Linked DNA regions of Elephas maximus indicus. The protein of the gene in region 2 interacts with the protein of the main gene of each other region in a biochemical or structural test. Links are inferred from orthologs where the notes say so. Each region holds a gene or a part of one and is shown on either strand. Other genes may lie near its edges.

Region 1 (9,733 bases), on a different chromosome or scaffold from region 2:
CTAAATCTGGCTTGAATTTCTGACAGTTCCCTGTAGATGTACTGCTGTAGCCGCCTTTGAATGATCTTCAGCAAAATTTTGCTTGGGTGTGATATTAATGATATTGTTAGATAGTTTCTGCATTCTATTGACTTACCTTTCTTTGGAATGGGTACAAATATAGATCTCTTCCAGTCTGTTGGCCAGGTAGCTGCCTTTCAAATTTCTTGGTATAGACAAGTGAGCACGTCCAGTACTGCATCTGTTTGTTGAAACATCTCAATTGGTATTCCGTCAATTCCTGGATCCTTGTTTTTTATCAGTGCCCTCAGTACAGCTTGGACTTCTTCCTCCTGTACTACTGGTATTTGATCATATGCTATCTCCTGAAATGGTTGAACATCAACCAATTTATTTTGGTACAGTGACTGTGTATTCTTTCCATGTTCTTTTGATACTTCCTGTGCAATTCAATGTTTTCTCTGTAGAATCCTTCAATACTGCTACTCAAGGCTTGAATTTTTTCATCAATTCTTTCAGCTTGAGAAATGCTGAGAGTGTTGTTCCCTTTTGGTTTTCTAACTCTGGGTCTTTGCACATGTCATTATAATACTTTGTCTTTTCAAGCCACCCTTTGAAATCTTCTGTTCATCTCTTTTACTTCATTTCTTCCATTAGCTTTAGCTACTCTATGTTCAAGAGCAAGTTTCAGACTCTTCTGTTCCAGGACACAATGAGGATTTGAAACACTGATGAAGATCAAAGTCTACAGCCTTCAGTATAGATTATACCTCAACATAAAACAAAAATCTTTACAACTGGACCAATAAGCAACATCTTGATAAAAAGAAAGTATTGTCAAGGATATCAGTTTACTGGGATCCACAATCAATGCCCATGGAAGCAGCAGTCAAGAAATCAAAGGACGTATTTCATTGGAAATATCTGCTGCAAGAGACCTCTTTAAAGTGTTAAAAAGCAAAGATGTTACTTTAAGGACTGTGATGGTTAAGATTGTGTGTCAACTTGGCTGGGCCATGATTCTCAGTGGTTTGGCAATCGTATGATGTTGTGATCACTTCCATGTTGAGATTTGATATAATGTGATCACCCCCATGATGGGATCTGCTGTGAGCAGTCAGTTGAAAGGGAGTTTCCTTGGGCGTGTGGCCTGCATCGAATATAAGTGGACGTTCTGACAAGGGACATTCTGGTGGGCTTTTACTCTCTCTGGATCCTGCAGCTGGCTCCTGCAGGTGGCTCCTGCTCATCTGGCCTCTGGTCCTTGGGACTTAAGCTAGCATCTTACCTGTGGTCTTGCCTGCCGATCTCAGGATTCGTCAGTCTTCACAGCCTGTGAGCAACAGCCCTGCTCTCTGACCTACCAATCTTGGGTTCTCCAGGCACTGCGGCTATGTGAATCAGGAGAAGCCTCCTGACCCACAGACTTGGGACATTCCAGTCTCTACAACCACATAAGCCACTTCCTTGATATAAATCTCTCTCTATATATATATTTATACACTTCACTGGTTTTGTGTCTCTAGAGAACCCAGCCTTAGATGAGGACTAAGGTGCAGCTGACCCAAGCCGTGGTATTTTCAATCACCTCATGTGCATGTGGAAGCTACACAATGAATAAAGAAGACCGAAGAAGAATTGCTGCCTTTCAATTATGATGTTGGCAAAGAATATTGAATATACCATGGACTGCCAGAAGAACAAATTTGTCTTGGAAGAAGTACAGCCAGAATGCTCCTTGGAAAGAAGGATGGTGAGACTTCATCTCATGTACTTTGGACATGTTATCAGGAGGGACCTGTCCCTGGAGAAGGACATCATGCTTGGTAAAGTAGAGGGTCAGCAAAAAAGAGGAAAACCCTCAGGGAGATGGATTGACTCGATGGCTGTCACAGTGGGCTCAAACACAGCAATGCTTTTGAGGATGGCGCGAGACCAGGAAGTGTTTCGTTCTGTTGTATGTAGAGTCACTGACTCATGGGCACCTGACAGCAACAACAACAGAGACACATACACACAGATACTGATCTGCAGACATATATATTCACAGACAGCACATGCAGAGATAGACACGTACACACAGGCACACACAGCTGTAGGCACACACAAACACAGAGACACAGACACCCGTACAGACAGACACTAACACAGATATATATGTCCGTTCACACGGACACGCACGAATACTGACATACACAGATACATAGGCTCAGGGACAAACACGTAAGTACATGAAAAACTGCCACACAGATCCCGACACACACACACACAAACTCACGGGCATATTCATAATCTCAGACAGGTACACTACATTCACTTACAAAGCCTTCACAAAATAGTAGTCACTATGTGTGACATCGTCTGTTATTTTCTAGTCTGTTCTATTTTTTAAAATGCAGAGAAACTCTGAAAGGATGTCTAAAACACTGGTAACAGGGATAGAAGTTCTGGGAAGAAAGACTACCTGTTAAGAGCAGAAACTTGGATGCTGGACTGCCACTGGCAAGTGACTTCACCCCACTGAGCCTCAGTTTCCCTGTCTGTGAAATGGGGCTTATCACTGCACCTACCTCCCAGGGCTTTTGTGAGGATTGAATGAACAAATAGGTGTCAAGCCCTTAAGATAATGCCCATATGCAGTGAGTGCTAGGCAAATGACAATTTTTACTTTACATCTTTTTATATTTCTTGGGTTTTGAACCACATTAATTTTTACCTACCATCAGAATAAAAGTAATAAATAAAAGACATGAGATAACGTTTTAAAAATTGCTCATTGGGACCCAAATAAATTGATTTCACAACTGGGCCCCTGGCAAAAGGTTGAGATGTATGTCTGTATGTGTTTGTCTTTCTGTTTTTCTCACACACACACACACACACACACACACACACACACACACACGTCCAGGTCCAGCCCTGGGTCAGAGCCCTGGTCCATTCCTGCAAACTCAGCCCCCAACTGCTGCCCGCTGCCAGTCGCCAGCCCCGTCCACTCACGGTACACGGTGATGCTGGTAGAGCCACTAATCTGGGAGCCATTGCAGAACCCAGCACAGATAATGTCGCTGTCACCAGTCACATTGCTGAGCTGGAAGGCTGACCAGCTCAGTCCACTGCCCACTGGCTGCTTGGACAGGGCCGTCTCCAGGATGATATTTTCAGGATCCGGGCAGTCAGCACTGCAGTTCACCAGGAGCGACCCTCCAGTGGGCACCACTGGGTTCTGGGGCTCCACCCGCAGGGGGGACACCTGCCCCTGGGCACCTGCGGGGGCATGAGGAAGCTCAGGTGGCTGTTCCAGTATCCCCCAACCCACCCCTCTGCAGGCCCCCTCTTCATGCTGGGATATGAGGGGAAGCAGTCTGGTGGGGAAGACAGATGACCAGAAAAAAAAACGGGGAGAATTCCGAGGGAGGCCCTGATCCACCCTAAAGGAGAGAGTGGGTTACAGGAGGCTTCCTGGAGGAACAGACACCTACAGCCAGCTCTGAAAGGTGGATAGGAGTTAGCCATGTAGAAGGGAAAAGTGTTCCTGGCAGAGGGAATAGCATACGCAAAGGGCTGGGGGTCCTGATGGCTCATGGAGAGTGTGCGTGTGTAGCACAAGTCACACAAGAGGACCGGGCTGTGGGGATCCCTGAAGCCCAGTTAAGGAGCCCGACTTTCTCCAGAGGACATGGAGGAGCTCCGATCAGATTCGAGTTCCCAGAAAGGCGCACAGCAACCAGACCAGCAGGATGTGGGCAGCTGTGCTTTCTCCGTTCCCCGCCCCCAACCTACTAGTCCCCCCAACCCTAGGCACTCACCTGGGGGCAGCAGGCAGCAGACCAGCAGCAGGAGGATGAGCAGAGACAGGCAGGCCTGGAGCAGTGGTGCCAAGGGCACCATGGTGGTCAGTCTTTGGGGAAAAGGTGCCCTGATGAGGTGCCAGCAGTGCAGGGGGTGGGTAGGTCACCCAGGGAACGGAAATGGCGGTTAGGATGGCAGAAGCCAGGGGCTGCACTGTGGCCAGGCCCAGGGAGGGGCAGGGGGATTCTCTGTGGCCCCAGAGTGGGCTACCTCGGCAGGTGCGGGGCCCAAGAAGCCCCGGGGGTGGGGGTGGGGTCGCTGGGCACTGGCAAGTCTCTGACAGGGCAGACCTTAGCTGCACTGCTGGCTCCCAGGTGAACCCACAGGAAGTGCTAACACAACTGGTTTCCTTTGTTTTCACCAACAGGGACCCTGCGGGGAGGCGGGGGTGATGAGACACCTTCCTTCAGAACTGGGTGAGATGGTGATTGGTCCTTAGAAAGGGAAGTTAATGCGGGGGGGGCCCTCTGGGCACTGTCCTCGAGGCGCTAGGTGGGATTTCAAGGCAAACTTTCAAAGGGGGTGACAATGGGAGACTTTTAAGCATAGCCTCAAGAAGTTAGTGTGAAATTTTAACATTCTGGGGGGCAAATAAAGAATTTGGGGGTGACAGTGAGGAACCCCTAGGATGAGAGATGCCATAAAAATGAACAGAACCCACATTTATTGAGCGCTTACTAGATGCCAGGCCCTGTGCTGACCCTGAGCAAGGCCATGGCCCCTGAAGGTCCTTTACCTTTGAAGATCTTGAGGATCTCCCACTCCCTGCAGGCAGTGCCAAGGCAGGTGTCTTAGGAACGAGTCCTGGGCCACTGTCTTGAAGATGCCACTTGTAACTGGCTTTTACCCCTGTCCTGCACCCTGCCTTTGCCCCTCCAGCTTGTTTCTTCACTCCAAGAAAAGTGCTCTGCCCTTTCTCCTCCCCTCCCCTCCCCCCGGCCCTGCCCTCTCTCCTTCTCTGCCTCTCTCAGCTCTCCACCAGCCTCCTCACTTCCTGTGCCTCTATCCCAGTTCTATAAGAGAGACCTTGTTGAGGGCCTTGATAGTGCCGTGCCTGGTATTCATCTATTTTCCCCATCCCTAAGGCCATAGCACCCGCCCCTTCTTGCTTGGAGATCCCACCAACTAAGTCTCTCTGCTGCTGCTCTGTCCCCCAAAAGATCCGCTTGCCACAGTTCTTGAGAGACCAACTCAAAAGGCAAATCAAATCCCGTCATTCCCTCTGTTTCACATCCTCCAGACTCCTTGCCTGGGCCTAGCTGCTCCTTTTGTTTGCTCAGGACCCCTCTGCCCTTAGCTCCTCCCAGCTTCCTCTCCTCTTTCTGCTCCAGCCACACTGGCCTCTCTGCTGTGCCTCAAGACCACACCACTCACCCAGAACAGTCCCCTCTCCGGGCCTTCGCACATGATGTTCCTTCTGCCTGGACCACTCTATATTTACACGGGGGGACATGGCTCCTCCCTCACCTCCATCTACTCAGGTGAGGCCTTCCCAGGTGTAAAATGGGGGCAGTAGTAGTACTAGTAGCAGTATCAGTAGCAGCATCAGAACCTGTCTAACTTCAGGGAGGACAATGCAATTCAAGATCAGCCCAAGGCTGATCACTATGAGCTGGAGACCAAACATACCTCCACTCTCCAGCCTTTTTACCGATTCTGACACCAACCACTCCTCCCACAGCACTCTACTTCTCTTCTGGGCTTGATAATCTGTTGCAGTGGCCACACAGAACTCAAAGAGCATAGTTAAGTGGTCTATTCAGGAAGTAACAGACTACAACTCAGGATCAGGAAGCATGTAGGCAGAGTCCCCTTCTTCAGTGCAGGACAGCTCTCTCAGCTCCTCTCGGTAGGACAGGCTCCTCTTGGCCTTGCCATCCATTACTGCCCACTCTGCCATGGGCCCAAGCTGGGCCTGTCGCTCCTGGCCCTGCCACTGGGTCCCTTGCTGTCTTTAATGTTATGGCTCTTGACCTGGGTTACAGCCCTTTTAGGAGGTTCCTTGTCTCTTCTCTCTGCTGCTTTTCTTCCTGCTTCTATCTCAAAAACCTCTGTGGTGCTGGCTGCTTATATACACAACTGCTTGTCAATTTCAAGGCATGGCCCCTCCCAATGGGGGTGGGCACAAGCTGACCAATCCCCTCTCAGTAGGCCTCAGACACTTCATTTGCATAGTAGGCTACACCTCCTCTCATTTGCATAGTCTATCAACAAATCCCTGCAAGGTGCATACCAATCACAGGGCAGGCTGCAGCCCAGGACCAGACCAAAAGTATCAAATCAAGTTATTCACAATTTACCCAGGAAATATCAATCAACCTGGACAAAAGTAACAAACCCTCTGGGGTAGAAAACTAGGACAAAGATAACCCCTCAGGCCTTACGGGGAAAAAAATCTCAAGCTGTTTTTTCAAAGAACCAAGGTAAAAGGCCATATACAGGAATTCGTTTCACCACACCTGGTCACCCATTTTACAACTGTCACTCAGCCTTAGGCTTTACCTTTTGTCCCCATAAATCATCACCTTCTAACATATTTATAATTTACTGTTTTTTCTTTCATCACTTTCTAACATACTTATAATTTACTAACCCCTTTTTTTTTTTTCTTACTGCCCCTTGAATGCCTCTCCCACCTAGAATATAAGGGCGGAAATCTTTGCCTAGCTCACTGCTGTACCCCAGTGACTAGAACCGTGTCTGGCACACAGTAGGTTCTCAATGAATATTTGTTGGATGGACACACACAGAAATTTGGTACATGGGTTGGGGGTCTTGTGACCCCTGAAATCCTTTTGTGGGACCCTCGCAGGCTTCTGTGAACTCCGGGATGTTGCCCTAATAGGTGATTCACAAAGAACAGATGTCCCTTGGCAAAGGAGACAGGCGATGTCTGTGCCCTCCCTGCTCCCAACCCTGCCCTGTGGGGGGTAGATCTTGCCAGGGGCTTGGTCCCTTGGGCCAAGAGGGAGTGAAGAGAGAAGCGGGGAGCCCAGGAAGAAGTGTGGTGGCAGTGGCCACCAAGTCTCTGGAAGACATGAGTGATGACTGCCCCACCTGGGTGGGAAAACAGGACCCTAGAACGTGAAAGGCCAATGTCTGAGCTTGAGACAGGTGGGAGGAGAGGGTGCTCCCCAGCCCAGGAAAGATATGAAGTATCTGCTATTGTATCACACCGTGTTGGAACTGTCCCACCCTGAACTTCCTCATCTGTGAAGTGGGCATGTCCAGAGCCCCCACCTTCTAGACTGCCACCTGTCAGTCAGGTTGTCATACTGTAGTGGCTTGTGTGTGTTGCTGTGATGCTGGAAACTACACCACCAGTATCTCAAGTACCAGCAGGGTCACCTATGGTGGACCGGTTTCAGTGGAGCATTTCGGCCTAAGACAGACTAGAAAAAAAGCCCTGGCGATCTACTTCTGAAAATTAGCCAATGAAAACCCTATAGATCGCAACAGAACATCGTATGACATAGCGCTGGAAGATGAGCCCCTAGATTGGAAGGCACTTAAAATACACAGCGGCCACAATAATGGATTTGAGCACACCGACCGCAAAGATGACGAAGGTCTGGGCAACACTTCGTTCTGTTGTACATGGGGTCACCATGGGTTGGAGCCAGCTCTAGGATAACTAAAAACGACCTTCTAGAGATGCCAGGAGCAGCCAGTGAGCTGAACCAGCACACAAGGACCTAATGCAGAGTCTGTGGCCTCACAACTGCACCCTGTTGTCCACAGCAGTGGGGGTGGGACCGCCTCACGGGGCTCACAGGGCTGACTGGGCTCAAGCCTGAGCCGTGTTTGCCATCTCCTCAATGGTAACATGGCAATCACAGTGCTCCCTTCTGGAGTGGTGTGATCACTGAGCACTTTAATACATGTACAGAGCTCAGCACACTGCCCAGCATATATCTAACCCTCGCCCTAAGCCCACGAGGCCCCTGGTTTTCTCCATTTTACAGCTGAGGCAACAAGTTCAGAAAAGTGGCGTGACTTGCCCGAGGAGGCACAGGGAGTTGGAAGATTAAGCAGACAAGTCCTGACAGTGACACCTCTCATCTTGTGAATTTCTGAGGACCCCTTCAGGTGGGGAAATACTGCTCAAAACTGCAAAGACATCAGGGCTTGCAATCCTGTTGAAACTCTAGCAGGATATTTCACGGGAAAAGCCATATTAAAAACAATTACATCCACCTATTTTGATTTGCACTCAAAACATGAGGGGGGTGGAGGAATGGAGAGATGGAGAGATGCAGTATGCTAAAGCAAATTTAACCACTTGCTGTCAAGTCAACCCCGACTCCTGGTGACCCCACATGTATCAGAGTAGAACTGTGCTCGGTAGGGTTCTCAATGTCTGAGTTTTTCAAAGTAGATCACCAGGCCTTTCTTCTGAGGTGCCTCTGGCTGGACTCAAACCTCCAACTTTTCAGTTAGCAGCAAATTTAACAGCATATTAATTGTGGAATCCAGTGGTGGTCACTGTGCAATTCTTTCAACTTTCCTGTATGTTTGAACATTTGGAAAGTAAAAATTGCATCCTGATGGATCAGGGCATAGAGCCCCGAGGCTGTTCATGTCACAAAAGGAGTGTCAGCCGGACCCCCTGTGCCCCCTGCTGAGAAAGCACAATGCCTCCTGCGGAGAGGTCTCCCCCCAAAAGTGAAACTGAATCTGACCAAGACTTCACAGGAATCTCAGAGGAACTCGATAAGCCACCGCGAAGATAGCAGTCTACCAGACAAACAACCTGGTTTTTTCTTCAAATATGTTGCCAGAGAGGAAAAAAGAGGACGGGAACCTGGAATTTAATGATGCAGCATGTGGACCTTGGATCCTTATTCGAACAAACTGTAAACAAATAAACAAATAACAAATATTTAAGAGACAATTGGAGAAGTTTGAATACTAAGAGGCCATACAATGATGCTGAGGAATTATTATTAATTTTAGGTTGATAATGATATGATACTGTGGTTGTTTCAGTCATTATCTTTTTGAGATACATATTGAGGTTTTTACAGGTGAAACGATGTCTGCGATTTGCTTCAAAATTATCCGGTGTCAGGGGCTGGGGTAGCGGCAACACTGAAACTAGACTGGCCATGGGCTTTGGAAACTGGTGAAGCTGGGTGACAGCTAAGTACAGGTTATCTTAATGTCTCTAGTTTTGAATATGCTTTAAAACGTCCATAAGAAAATGTTCAAAAAAAAAAAGATAACTACGCAAGATTAAGTCAAGATAATTTTGAAAAAAGAATGAGGAGAGAACGGTTCTATAAACTATTCAAACATAGTGGCAGCCTCTTTCAAAATTACCAGGCCCAGACCCTGCAACCTGCCACTCCACGGCTGAATATACATCCTAGGGTCCCCTTGCACATGGGTGAGACAGTCACTCACTGCAGCAGCATTATAGGAACGGGAAGGGTTGGAATCGAACTACAAGAACACCAAAACCAAAAAACCAAACCCGTTGCTGTCGAGTCGATCCTGACTCATAACGACCCTAAAGCACAGAGTAGAACTGCCCCATAGGGTTTCCAAGGAGTGGCTGGTGGATTCGAACTGCCAACCTTTTGGTTAGCGGCTGAGTTCTTAACCACCGCACCACTAGGGGTCCTACAAGAATACCAGTTGGGGACAAACGTTGTTAACACTTAAGCAATGGGCCACAAAAAAACAAAAAACAAAGCCATTGCCATCAAGTCAGTTCTGACTCATGGCAACTCATGTGTTACAGAGAACTGCTCCATAGGTTCTTCTTGGTTGTAATCTTTATAGAAGCAGATTGCCAGGCCTTTCTTCCACAGTGCCACTGGGTGGATCTGAACTGACAACCTTTAGTTTAGTAGTCAAGCACAAACTGCACCACCCA
Region 2 (10,279 bases):
AACCACCCTGGTCTCCATCTGATACCCCAAGCTCATCCTCCTCCCTCCCACCTTAGGGCCTTTGTACATGCTGTTCCCGCAGCCTGGTGCGTCCTCTGCTCCCCTTTCACCCAGAGACCACCCCTTCATTCTCTGCATTGTTCTGCACAATCGTCCCTTGCTCAGGCGGGCCTCTGCTGACTTCTCTGATAAGGACCCCTGCCCCGCCCCCAACCACACACACACCCTTGTAGATACTCCCACAGCACCAGTGTACCTGTCATGAGGCAACTTTCCAGAGCTGCAGTTCTATGTTAACTCTGTGACAACTGCCTGCCTCCCTCCCAAACTGTTAATCCAGGGCGGCAGAGACAATTTCTGTGTCTGTGCACGTCGGTGCCGTCAACACCCAGAACAAGGACCAGCACGTTAAATGTTGCCAAGCTCGCAGATGAGTGGGCAATCAGACTCATCCTCCTGCCCTACAGTGTGACAACGGCAAGTGACCACACTCCCAGCCAGCATTTCTCGCCCCACAGGGCCCAACCTTAGCTCCCGAAATCACCTACCACCCATGGTGAAGGAGGACGGGGGTGCAGAAAACAGACCCTGTGCACCCATCTCAACAGGTGGGGCCCATGGAAAACATATCATCAAATTCTGTCCTGCAAAAACATTCAGCACAGTGGATTACCTTTTCCACCATGGAAGAGGCCGTGTACTCTCAGAGAGGAAGGGAATCTCAGAGGTGATTGTCTCAGTTTACACAGAATTTTGAACACACTTTCACAGTTGTCTTAATGAAGGGTAGATCCACTTTTGCGTTAGAAACAAGTATGGAACCACTGTAGAAAGGACCACTAAGGCTTCTGTTTCTACCACCTGAATAAGGCTCAGCCCGCTAAGCTGATCACAGGCCTCGAAGGCAACGCCCTTTTCACTGCTGGGCTTGATGGCAGGGGTTTTCCAACGTCCCATGTCTTTCTAATGGCCCGTGTCTCCTATAACAATGAAGAAAGCAAGTGTGGGGGAAAGGAAGGAGGGAGGAGGTACTCCACACTCACCCTAATCCTTAGGACAGAGATTGTTTCCTGAACCAGCTCCTGGCACTGTGCCCTGAGACCCCCAAATCACTCTTCCTGGAAGTCTACCAGCTGCCCATGAATGAGCCCCAGGCAGCTGTGGGAAAAGCAAAACCAGCCAGGGCCAGCCATACACAGGTGTGCCCCCCCCCCTTGGAGGGCCTGGCTGATCAGGCCGCCCACGGCTCTAGTGCAAGCCGTGCAAGCCGCGGCTGCCATACTACTTTTCTTTGGTCCTCCCCATCAGGCCACTGACTGTTGAGGGCACTGTTTTAGGGCACTTTGCCAAGTTTTCCAGTTTCTATTTCAACATTTGTGTGTGTCTTGGGTTAAAAACCAGACTGGAAAGCTTCCCTGGGGCCATGAATCCGGCTCATCCACCTGCAGGTTACCTGCCCGCAGGTGTTTGCCGAGTGAATGAACACTCACTTTTTTTAACAAGTGGTGACTCAAGAAGCAGTATGAAGAGGACGCACAGCGAATCAGTATCTCATTTATACCGCTTTTTGGGTAACACTGTCGGCTGACTCAGTTTAGACAAAGCAACCAAGATTACTCTGCCTGATGAATTCTTCACAGGTTAATGATTGTAAGGAATGCAAAATCCCAGTAAGTCGGATGTCTCCATCTTTATAGGTAACTGGGCTGTTAAACATCAAGTCATACTGAAGACTCCTAACAAAATTCTTAGTTTGGGCTTGAACAGTTAGAATCAAGAACCTTCAAAGATGTGTTTAAAGAACACATCTACGGAACCTGGTGGAAGCGTTGGATTTCACATTTACTGAGGCAGAAAAACAAACAAACTAGATGCTCTATAACAGCACCTGAGAGGCACTATACGCATATGTTTGAAGGCCACTAAGCATTTCTCAGTGATCTGTGGGATGGCCCTAATACGCATCACACAAAGAAAGGCTTAATAAGTGTGTTTCTCTTACCAGGCAAAATCTCCAAGACCTTCCCCTGCCAAAAAGGCGGCAGGCAGGAATTTCCTACTGCAAACAGGTGGAGCTGGCCTTTTACTGACTTCTCAAAAACATCTGCTATTTCTAATTTTTCAATATTATACAAAATAGAGTGTCTCAAAAAGCTACCCTGGCTATTCAGATTCCCGCATGCAAGGTGACGGCCCCGTCCTCCTTAGCAACTCGAGAACTATTCTCAGTTTATCAGAACTTTTGCTAAGTTTCTGATTCATTATAAAAAAATTTTCTAAACAAACCGAAATTAAAACATACCTAACAAAAAATAAAGATTAAAAAAATTACCGTTCATCCTAAGAAATAAGAACCGTAGTGACAGGAAACAGGTTTGTGGATTTTCCTGAGTGATATCTTAAAAGCTAAGCTCTTCATCTCTATTTTAAATAAAGAAAACCACAGTCAAAACAATGATCTCTTGACTCCTCTGAATCACGTGCTTCCTGAGCTGGGCCCTGAGGAAGGGGGTTTTATATCATTGACAGCGCAAAGCCTGGGTGGTGTGTGCCTCCTGCAAGTCTGAAATGAAAAGAAGAATTTTGTGTAGGAGAAAAAAAAATCTTCATGAATGAATCAACTTGACGATGTAACGTAGGCGAAAACAGCATTGCCTTCTGTATCCATTAACACCAATAAAATAAATGTAACAGTAAAAGAACTGCTTTTGGGGAATCTAAAAAGTACCTAAGTATGATGATTATAGAATTAACTTGTTTGAAAAACTAGCAATAAACTCCCTATTTACCTTTTATTTCAAATTGTAATGACCGAAGTTTATTTTCTCCATTGTTATTCAAATTCAACCAAAACATTTTAAGCCCTTTCCTCAGTGTCTCCTGGCCAGTTCACCTGTGTTAAAGCAAGTGGATACAGCTTTCTAAAACGAGTCAGTCCCAAAGAGCCTGGCTGTTCCCACAATTTAAAAGAAAGCCTAACGCTCCACACCTGGTCCCCGATCTAACCCCGGACCTGAGCACAAATCAGATTAAAGCGAACAGAGCAGCAGGGTTCAGCAGTGCCGTAATCAGCTGATGTTGACCAGGAGTGCGAGGCCGGAGAGGCCCAGGGGGCCACCGGACCAAACTCCACCGGCCGCCTTCATCTGCAAGTCAAGCCCATTACTAAGCCTCCGCCAGAGACGGAGTCCTGCTGCCCCCAGCAAATTCCCGTCCACAGAACGCAGCTTGGGTAAAACGGACTGGGGCGACACTGCGGGCCAGAAAGGCGTGTCCCCTCTCCCTGGCGCCGTTCGAATTTCAAGGGAAGTCTGGGTTACGTTCGCTTTCGGACGCTAGAAGGAACTGGGAGTTCCTATCCGTCGTCCGGAGCTCTTGCTGCGATCCAGACAGCTTTTCTTTTTTTAAGAAGCTTCAAAATTGCATTCGAAAACACTTTTAAAACACACTGAAGCCGTGTAAAAGTGGAAATTCTAATTTTTTCAAAAGACCGTAACCGGGGAGGGAGGGAAGATGGTTCACAAAGAAAGACTGTAGAAAGAAAGGCATCACAGCCCACAAAAGAGTCAGCAGATAACAAAGAGGGGCCAAGTCCCCGTCGCCGTCCTCCCTCCGTTTGGAAGCGAGCCCTGTCCTACAGGTAGCAGCCCCACGCGCGTCCAGGTAACTCGCTCCCCTCGAAGATACGCCGGCCGCACCCAGCCCAGCGCTGGCACCGGGCCACTTACTGGTTTCGGCATTTTCGGTTCCCGGGAGGTTCTCCTCAATCCCTCGGAAACACAACTCTCAGTCGCAGCAGCCGAAGGGACCCGCCGACCTGGAGTGCGAGGAAGCGGTGAGGCGCAGGACAGCAGGCTGCTCCGCGGCGCACCGAGACCCCGGCCGCCCCGCGCGCCGCCGCTTAAGAACCGGCCGGGCGGGCCCCGGTGAGTCACAGCCCAACCTGCAATTACCGCGGCCGGGCGGGGCGGGGCGGGGCGGGGCCTGCGGCCGGGGCGGGGCCGGGCCTCGGAGCCGGGGGGCGGGGAGCGCGGGAAACGGGGGCGCACGGGGCTGGGAGGGGGCGCCGGGGAGCCTGCGGGAGTCCCGGTGTTCCGGGGCACGGGAAGTGGAGACGCGCGGGGACCGGGAGGGGGGCGGCCGCGCCGCTCCGGGGTGGGCCGTGGGGGGGTCTCGGCGCCCCAGGGCGGGGAGCGCGGGAAACGGAGGCGCACGGGGGCTCGGAGGGGGCGCCGGGGAGCGCTGTGGGAGTCTCGGTGTTCCGGGGCACGGCAAGTGGAGCCGCGCCGCCCTGGGGTGGGCCGTGGTGGGGGGGGGGGTTCGGCGCCCAGGGGGGTAGCGCGGGGAGAGGGGGCGCACGAGGACCGGGAGAGGGGCGGCCGCGTCGCTCCGAGGAGAGCCCTGGGATCGGCCGAAGGGGCCTCGCCCGCCGGCAGAGGCGGGGAGCGCGGGAAGTGGAGGCGCACGCGGACCGGGGAGGGGTCGCCGCGTCGCTCCGGGGAGGGTCTCGAGGGTCTCTGCGCCCGGTAGGGCAGAGCGCGCGCGAAGCGGGTCGCTCGGGGACGTGAGAGGGCGGTCGGGTCGCTCTGGGGAAGGCCGTGGGATCAGCCAGGGGGCGGGGCGCATGGGAACCGGGACGGGGGCGCCGGGTCGCTCCGGAAAGGGCCGTGGGGTGGGCCCGAGAGTCCCCCAGGGGAACGCGGACGGGCGGGCCCCAGAGTCCCCGGGCTCGGCGGAAGCGGTGGTAAGGCGCCCGCAGCAAGTTTCACTTTGTGTAGCAACTGTTTGTCCCGGGGCTAAAACCACCGCTGCCGCCGCCGCGCTTCGGAGGACCCCTTTCCTGCGCGACCGCCCTTTTCCGGAAGGAAGGCCACGGCAGCTCGGCGCTCGGCGGGCCGGTGAACAGGCCAGCGGTGTGGCCCCCAAGAAAGCCCCCCAGAAGCCGCAGGCAGCCCAGTGGGGGGCGGCCCAGCCCGGGGTTCGGCTCCGGGGACGACCCTGGCGCTCGCAGCGGCGCCCCCGATACCAGCCCACCACACCTGCGGCGGCACGAGCCACTCCCGCCCGGGCAGCAGCGCGGTCCGGAGAGCCCGGCCCGGAGAGCCCGGCCCGGAGAGCCCGGCGGGGCGGGTGTGTGGGGGACCGCGCCCTTCCCGGCCGACCACGAGGAGCGCCCTGGGCGCAAGATGGCCGCGGGTCGGGAGGGCGCGCTCGTCGAGTCTCCATCTTAAAGATCTGCCCTGGCCGCTGCCCGGCCTTTGCCCTTGGAGAGAACTTGGCAGAGTTTGGTTCCTCTCCTGAGGGTAGATGTAAGGTGTGAGCCTGTCCACAGTGAACAGAGGGAATCGAGAAAACCTAAATAAGCCTGGAGTGGCGGGCAGCCACGGGGGAGCTGCTGTGCCGTCTCCGTCTCGGGATGACGCCGCCCTTGGTCACTCGGTTGCCCCAAGTCTGAGGGCGGCCTAGGTTGGCGGGACCTGCGGGCTGCATCCCCGCGCACGTGGCCCAGCCACGTCCACGTCCCGATTCCGCGAAGAAAGTTAAAGAACAGAAAACGCACCGTCCCCCAGTACCTAGTTAAAGGGCAAATGAGTGTCCTTACAGGACTTGACTAGCAAAAAGCTATTGTTCACTTCATAGGAAGTCACCTCTGAAATTCTAGGAGTTATTTTTATTATTATCGCAAATGGTTCTCCCGAGGAATTTAAAAAACAAAACAAACAAAAAAGTAAAAAGGCGTGTGTGTACTTCTGGTAGCCAGTAGAATATGCTGCTCAGCGATTTAGAGAGCAAACTCCAGAGGTGCCCTGACTATCAGCATCACCTGGGAGCTTGTCAGAAATGCAGGTTCTCAGGTGTTACCCCAGACCCGCCGAATCAGAAACTAAGGCCTGCCATCTGCATAATAACAACCCCTCGGGTGATTGTGATGTGTAGGCTGAAAGTTGAGAACTAGGGTTTCCCCCTAAATTCCCTTCTGGGGTTGCCACTAACTCCCTGTGTGAGCCTAGTGAGCTATTTAACAACTTTGTGCTTTACTTTTCTCATCTGTAAAATGGCATAACAATGACACCTATTTCATAAGGTTATTATGAGGGTTAAATGGGCTACTATATGAAAGATGTTTGGAACAGTACTTGGCGGTAGGTAGTAAGCATTCAGATATCTCCTCGCAAAGCATAACTGGTGACTTTGGGCAAAGTAGCAAACCCTCTAAAATTCCCAATTTGTGAAATGGAGATAATAGCAGCACTTTCACATAGACTTGTAAAGATTCAAAGATATTATGCATGCAAAGTGCCTGGTAAGGTATTCGGCTCATGGTAATGCTTAACCTGTCACAGCAGGGGTTGTTTCTTGATGAACTTTGGTCATTTAGCACCTGTGACCTTCCCAAGCTGCAGAATGGGGCATTTCAGAGGCAGGCGTGGAGGGAGGCCTTTTCTGAGATTTGTTCTCTTTTCTGGCAAGCTGTTACCTCTGAAAGAATGAGTATCTTTTTTATTAAAATGACCTTATGGTAACTGCAGTAGGAAGGAAACTATGAAATATATTTAAATAACCTGAAATGATAATGGGTCAGATTGGACATACTACTCTTAATATACTTTATCTCCGCCTCCTTTTCACTGCCTGGGGCCTTGGTGGTTATTTTTGGTCTCCAACTCTGCAGATAAGGTATGCTTCTAATCTTTTTTTTTAAATCTCAGTTCAAAGTGTACTGTCTTCTGAATTGGAGGTTTGAAATAGTCCAGGATGTTTTCTGAACTTTACCCTCCAGGGGACTGCTGAAGATGAAATGGCCGGTGGCATTGTGAAATGAAAGGATCACAGGCCTGAGAAGCAAACAGCAGAACAAAAACCTTCAAGTTGATTCCATATTATAGCAAGCCTATAGGACGGAGTAGAACTGCCCCATAGGGTTACCAAGGCTGTAGGCCCTGGTGATGCAGTGGTTAAGCACTTGACTGCTAACTGAAAAGTCAGTGGTTTGAACCCAACAGTCTGCTTCCATAAAGATTTATAGCCTTGGAAACCCTATGGGGCAGTTCTGTCCCATGGGACCACTATGAGTCAGAATTGACTCAATGGCGATGGGTTAGTTTTTTGGCTTTTTTCTGGTTTAGAACCTAAGAAGTCCCTGGGTGATGCAAAGGGTTAATGCGCTCAGCTGCTAACAGAAAGCCCTGGTGATCTACTTCTGAAAAGTCGGCCATTGAAAACTACGGAGCACAGCTCTGCTCTGACACACATGGGGTCCCAATCTTGCGATTCCATGGCAACCGACAGAACCTAAACCCTGCCTCCAGCTTACCTCCCCACCTCTACACACAACATACACACAAAAGATTGAACTCCAAAGCAGTCTACGAGAATTGCTTAGGACAGTGACTCTCAAACCTAGGTGTGCATTAAAATATCTCATGGAGCCCCCCTGTAGGAATTATGGTGGAGCCCTGGTAGTGCAATGGTTAAGAGTTACGATGGCTAACCAAAAGTTCGGCAGTTCAAATCCACCAGCCGCTCCTTGGAAACCCAAAGGGGGAATTCTACTCTGTCCTGTAGAGTCACTGTGAGTGGGAATCAACCTGCCAGCAGTGGGTTTGGTTTGGTGTTTGCTGGTTTGCAGTCTAAAGTGGGCCGTGGGAGTCAATGTCTTCAACAAGTCCCCCAGGTGGCTCTGACATACACCAAAATTTGCAAACCACTGACTTAGGATGTGAAAGGATCTTGACGAGTTTTATTCACCTTGCCTCCCCCTTCACCCTTCTTTTGTCAGGTTATGCTGGCATTTGTCAGCTGTGGTTCTGTTTAATGTATGATAATCAATGCAGTGAACGGCAGTGAGGAAACTCTGGAGCCAGGAGTCTTGGCGCTATTCCCTGCTTTCCTTTGTCTACCTCTTTGACCTTGAGCTACTCGCTCCTCATTGAGGGGTTTCAGTTTTTCACTGAGAGGAGGGAATCATCCATCTGCCTCCTGGGCCCGAGGAAAGGCTGTTTGTCAGCTGCCTGGAGTTCTTCAGGCAAGGTTAAACCAAAGTGAGGTGGGGCAGCCCGTGGGCAAGGGCAAGAGCTGTAGTACGCAGAATGTTCACGTTCCCCATATGTAGACTGTCTGTCACACTGCCTCCGAGCCTGTCGTATTTGTATCTCACACTGGTGCCAGCTTAATCTCAGCTGTTGTTGTTGCTAGGTGCCATCAGTGATTTCCAGCTCTTAGAGACCCCATGTGACAGCGGAATTGCATCCCGGAATTGAGTGGACTCAATGGCAGCTGGTCTGGTCTGAGCCCTGGCAGCGCAGTGGTTAAGTGATACGCCGCTAACCAAAAGGTCAGCAGTTCAGATCTACCAGCCGCTCCTTGGAAACTCTATGGGGCCGTTCTGCTCTGTCCTATAGGGTCGCTATGTGTCAGAATCAACTCCACAGCAATGGGTTAATCTTTACAAGAGCAGATTGCCAGGTCTTTCTCTTGCTAATCTGAACTAGTAAAAGAAAAAAAGAAAAGCTCAAAGTAGTGCGACGGTCTCTAGCCTCAGTTGCTTCAAAGGAACAGTCAACAGGCGGTAGGGAAATACATAAAGAGGGCTCTTTATACAGGGGTGTTGGTCCCTCTCTGGCACTTAATAACCTTGGCTGAAAATTCGGGCAGTGACTGCGTCTGGAGGACAGGGACAAGGCGGCAATTAGAGGGGCTACGTGGTGGCTCGTCTGCGTGGTGGCTCGTCTGCGTGGTGGTGCTTCATTAGGATGAGTGGTGGTTCACAGGTGTCCTTGGAACAGCCTTGGTGCGTGTTTTGTGGATATGAAGTATTTCTTAATAAATGTTTTAGACTTAACATTGGGGTCAGCTTTCCATTGGCAGAGATGATAGCTAAAGAGAAATAAACATTTCATGTAACCTTAGAAAGTTCCCTGAACACGGTATGTAAATTTCTATTATCATCTCACATTCCGTTCTGGCCTGTGCAAGGGTGACCTGTCCTTACAGTGTGGGTAAGAGAGTACACGACAACTAAGGACTCAGAATGACCCAACCAAGCTGACAAGTGACCACTCAGCTGTATTCGAATCTGCAGTGCATTTAGAAAGAACTTCTAAAGGGTCTTTGGCATCGCCATGTGTTGGATTGACCCAGGACAATAAGCTACAAAGCACCTCTTGGTACTATTATGATGGCATTCTATAATCCGGGTCAGCTGAGCCCTGGTGGCACAGTGGTTAAGAGCTCAGCTGCTAACCAAAAAGTCGACAGTTCAAATCCACCAGCTGCTCCTTGGAAAACCTGTGGGGCAGTTCTCTGTCCTACAGGGATGCTATGAGTCAGAATCGACTTGACAGCAATGGATACAGGTAAGAAGCTTAGGTGTTATATTTTCATGGAGTTTCCTTGACTGATTTAATAATTTGTGTACCAGTAATCTGGGCCCTGGTGGCACAGTGGTTAAAGTGCTCGGCTGTTAACTGAAAAGTTGGCAGTTCAAACCCACCAGCCACTCTGAGGGAAAGAGATGTGGCAGTCTGCTTTCGTAAAGATTACAGCCTTGGAAACCCTGTGGGGCAGTTTTACTGTCCTACAGGGTCCTATAAGCCAGAACCAACTCCAAGGCAACACGCTTGGTTTTTGGACATCAATAATCTGGAATGCTGGTGGTGCAAACAGTTAAACGCTCGCTGCTAACTGAAAGGTTGGCAGTTCAAACCCACTCAGAGGTTCTGCAGGAGAAAGACCTAGAGATCTGCTCCTGAAAAGATTACGGCCTAGACTACCCTGTGGAACAGTTCTACTCTGTCACATGCGGTTGTTATGAGTTGGAGTCGACTCGACAGTATAAAACAACAATACCAGTAACCAGTTACCATCAAGCCGATCCCGACTTAAGGCGATCCCATGTTATTTCAGAATAGAGCTGTACTCCATAGGGTTTTCATGGCTATGACCTTTCGGAAGCAGATCACCAGGACTTTATTCCGAGGCATCTCAGTGGGTCTGAACTACCAACCTTTCTGTCAGTGGCGCGGCAGTTAGCTATTTGTGCCACCCAGCAACTCCTAACCAGGTGCTGTTGAGTTGATTCCAACTCCTTAACAATTTTTATGTGAAAGTATACTAATGACCACACTTGTTGGACAGAGGAACTACCAGATAACATTAAAAAAAAAAAAACCCAGTGCCGTGGAGTCGATTCCGACTCATAGCGACCCTATAACATAGCTTCCTTTATTACAATTTCTCTTCTCCCTGGGCATTTTAACTGTTAAGTAACAGTACGGGG

Evidence for each region. The genes of interacting proteins can lie anywhere in the genome.
Region 1: the proteins of EZR (region 2) and ICAM3 form a complex in vitro, tested with the Homo sapiens proteins (2 studies listed by BioGRID). The link is inferred for Elephas maximus indicus from reciprocal best matches to the Homo sapiens genes EZR and ICAM3.

What each region holds. Positions count from the first base shown.
Region 1 is NC_064821.1:28,441,763-28,451,495, forward strand, and holds the start of ICAM3 (intercellular adhesion molecule 3), read right to left. Parts: upstream 4,737-9,733; 5' UTR 3,892-4,736; coding exon 3,810-3,891; intron 3,268-3,809; coding exon 3,001-3,267; intron 2,995-3,000; exon of another isoform or gene 1-2,994. UniProt on the Homo sapiens protein: ICAM proteins are ligands for the leukocyte adhesion protein LFA-1 (integrin alpha-L/beta-2). ICAM3 is also a ligand for integrin alpha-D/beta-2. In association with integrin alpha-L/beta-2, contributes to apoptotic neutrophil phagocytosis by macrophages.
Region 2 is NC_064819.1:231,085,621-231,095,899, forward strand, and holds the start of EZR (ezrin), read right to left. Parts: upstream 3,929-10,279; 5' UTR 3,741-3,928; coding exon 3,729-3,740; intron 1-3,728. Other genes in the region: translation initiation factor IF-2-like, read left to right, coding at 4,625-5,320. UniProt on the Homo sapiens protein: Probably involved in connections of major cytoskeletal structures to the plasma membrane. In epithelial cells, required for the formation of microvilli and membrane ruffles on the apical pole. Along with PLEKHG6, required for normal macropinocytosis.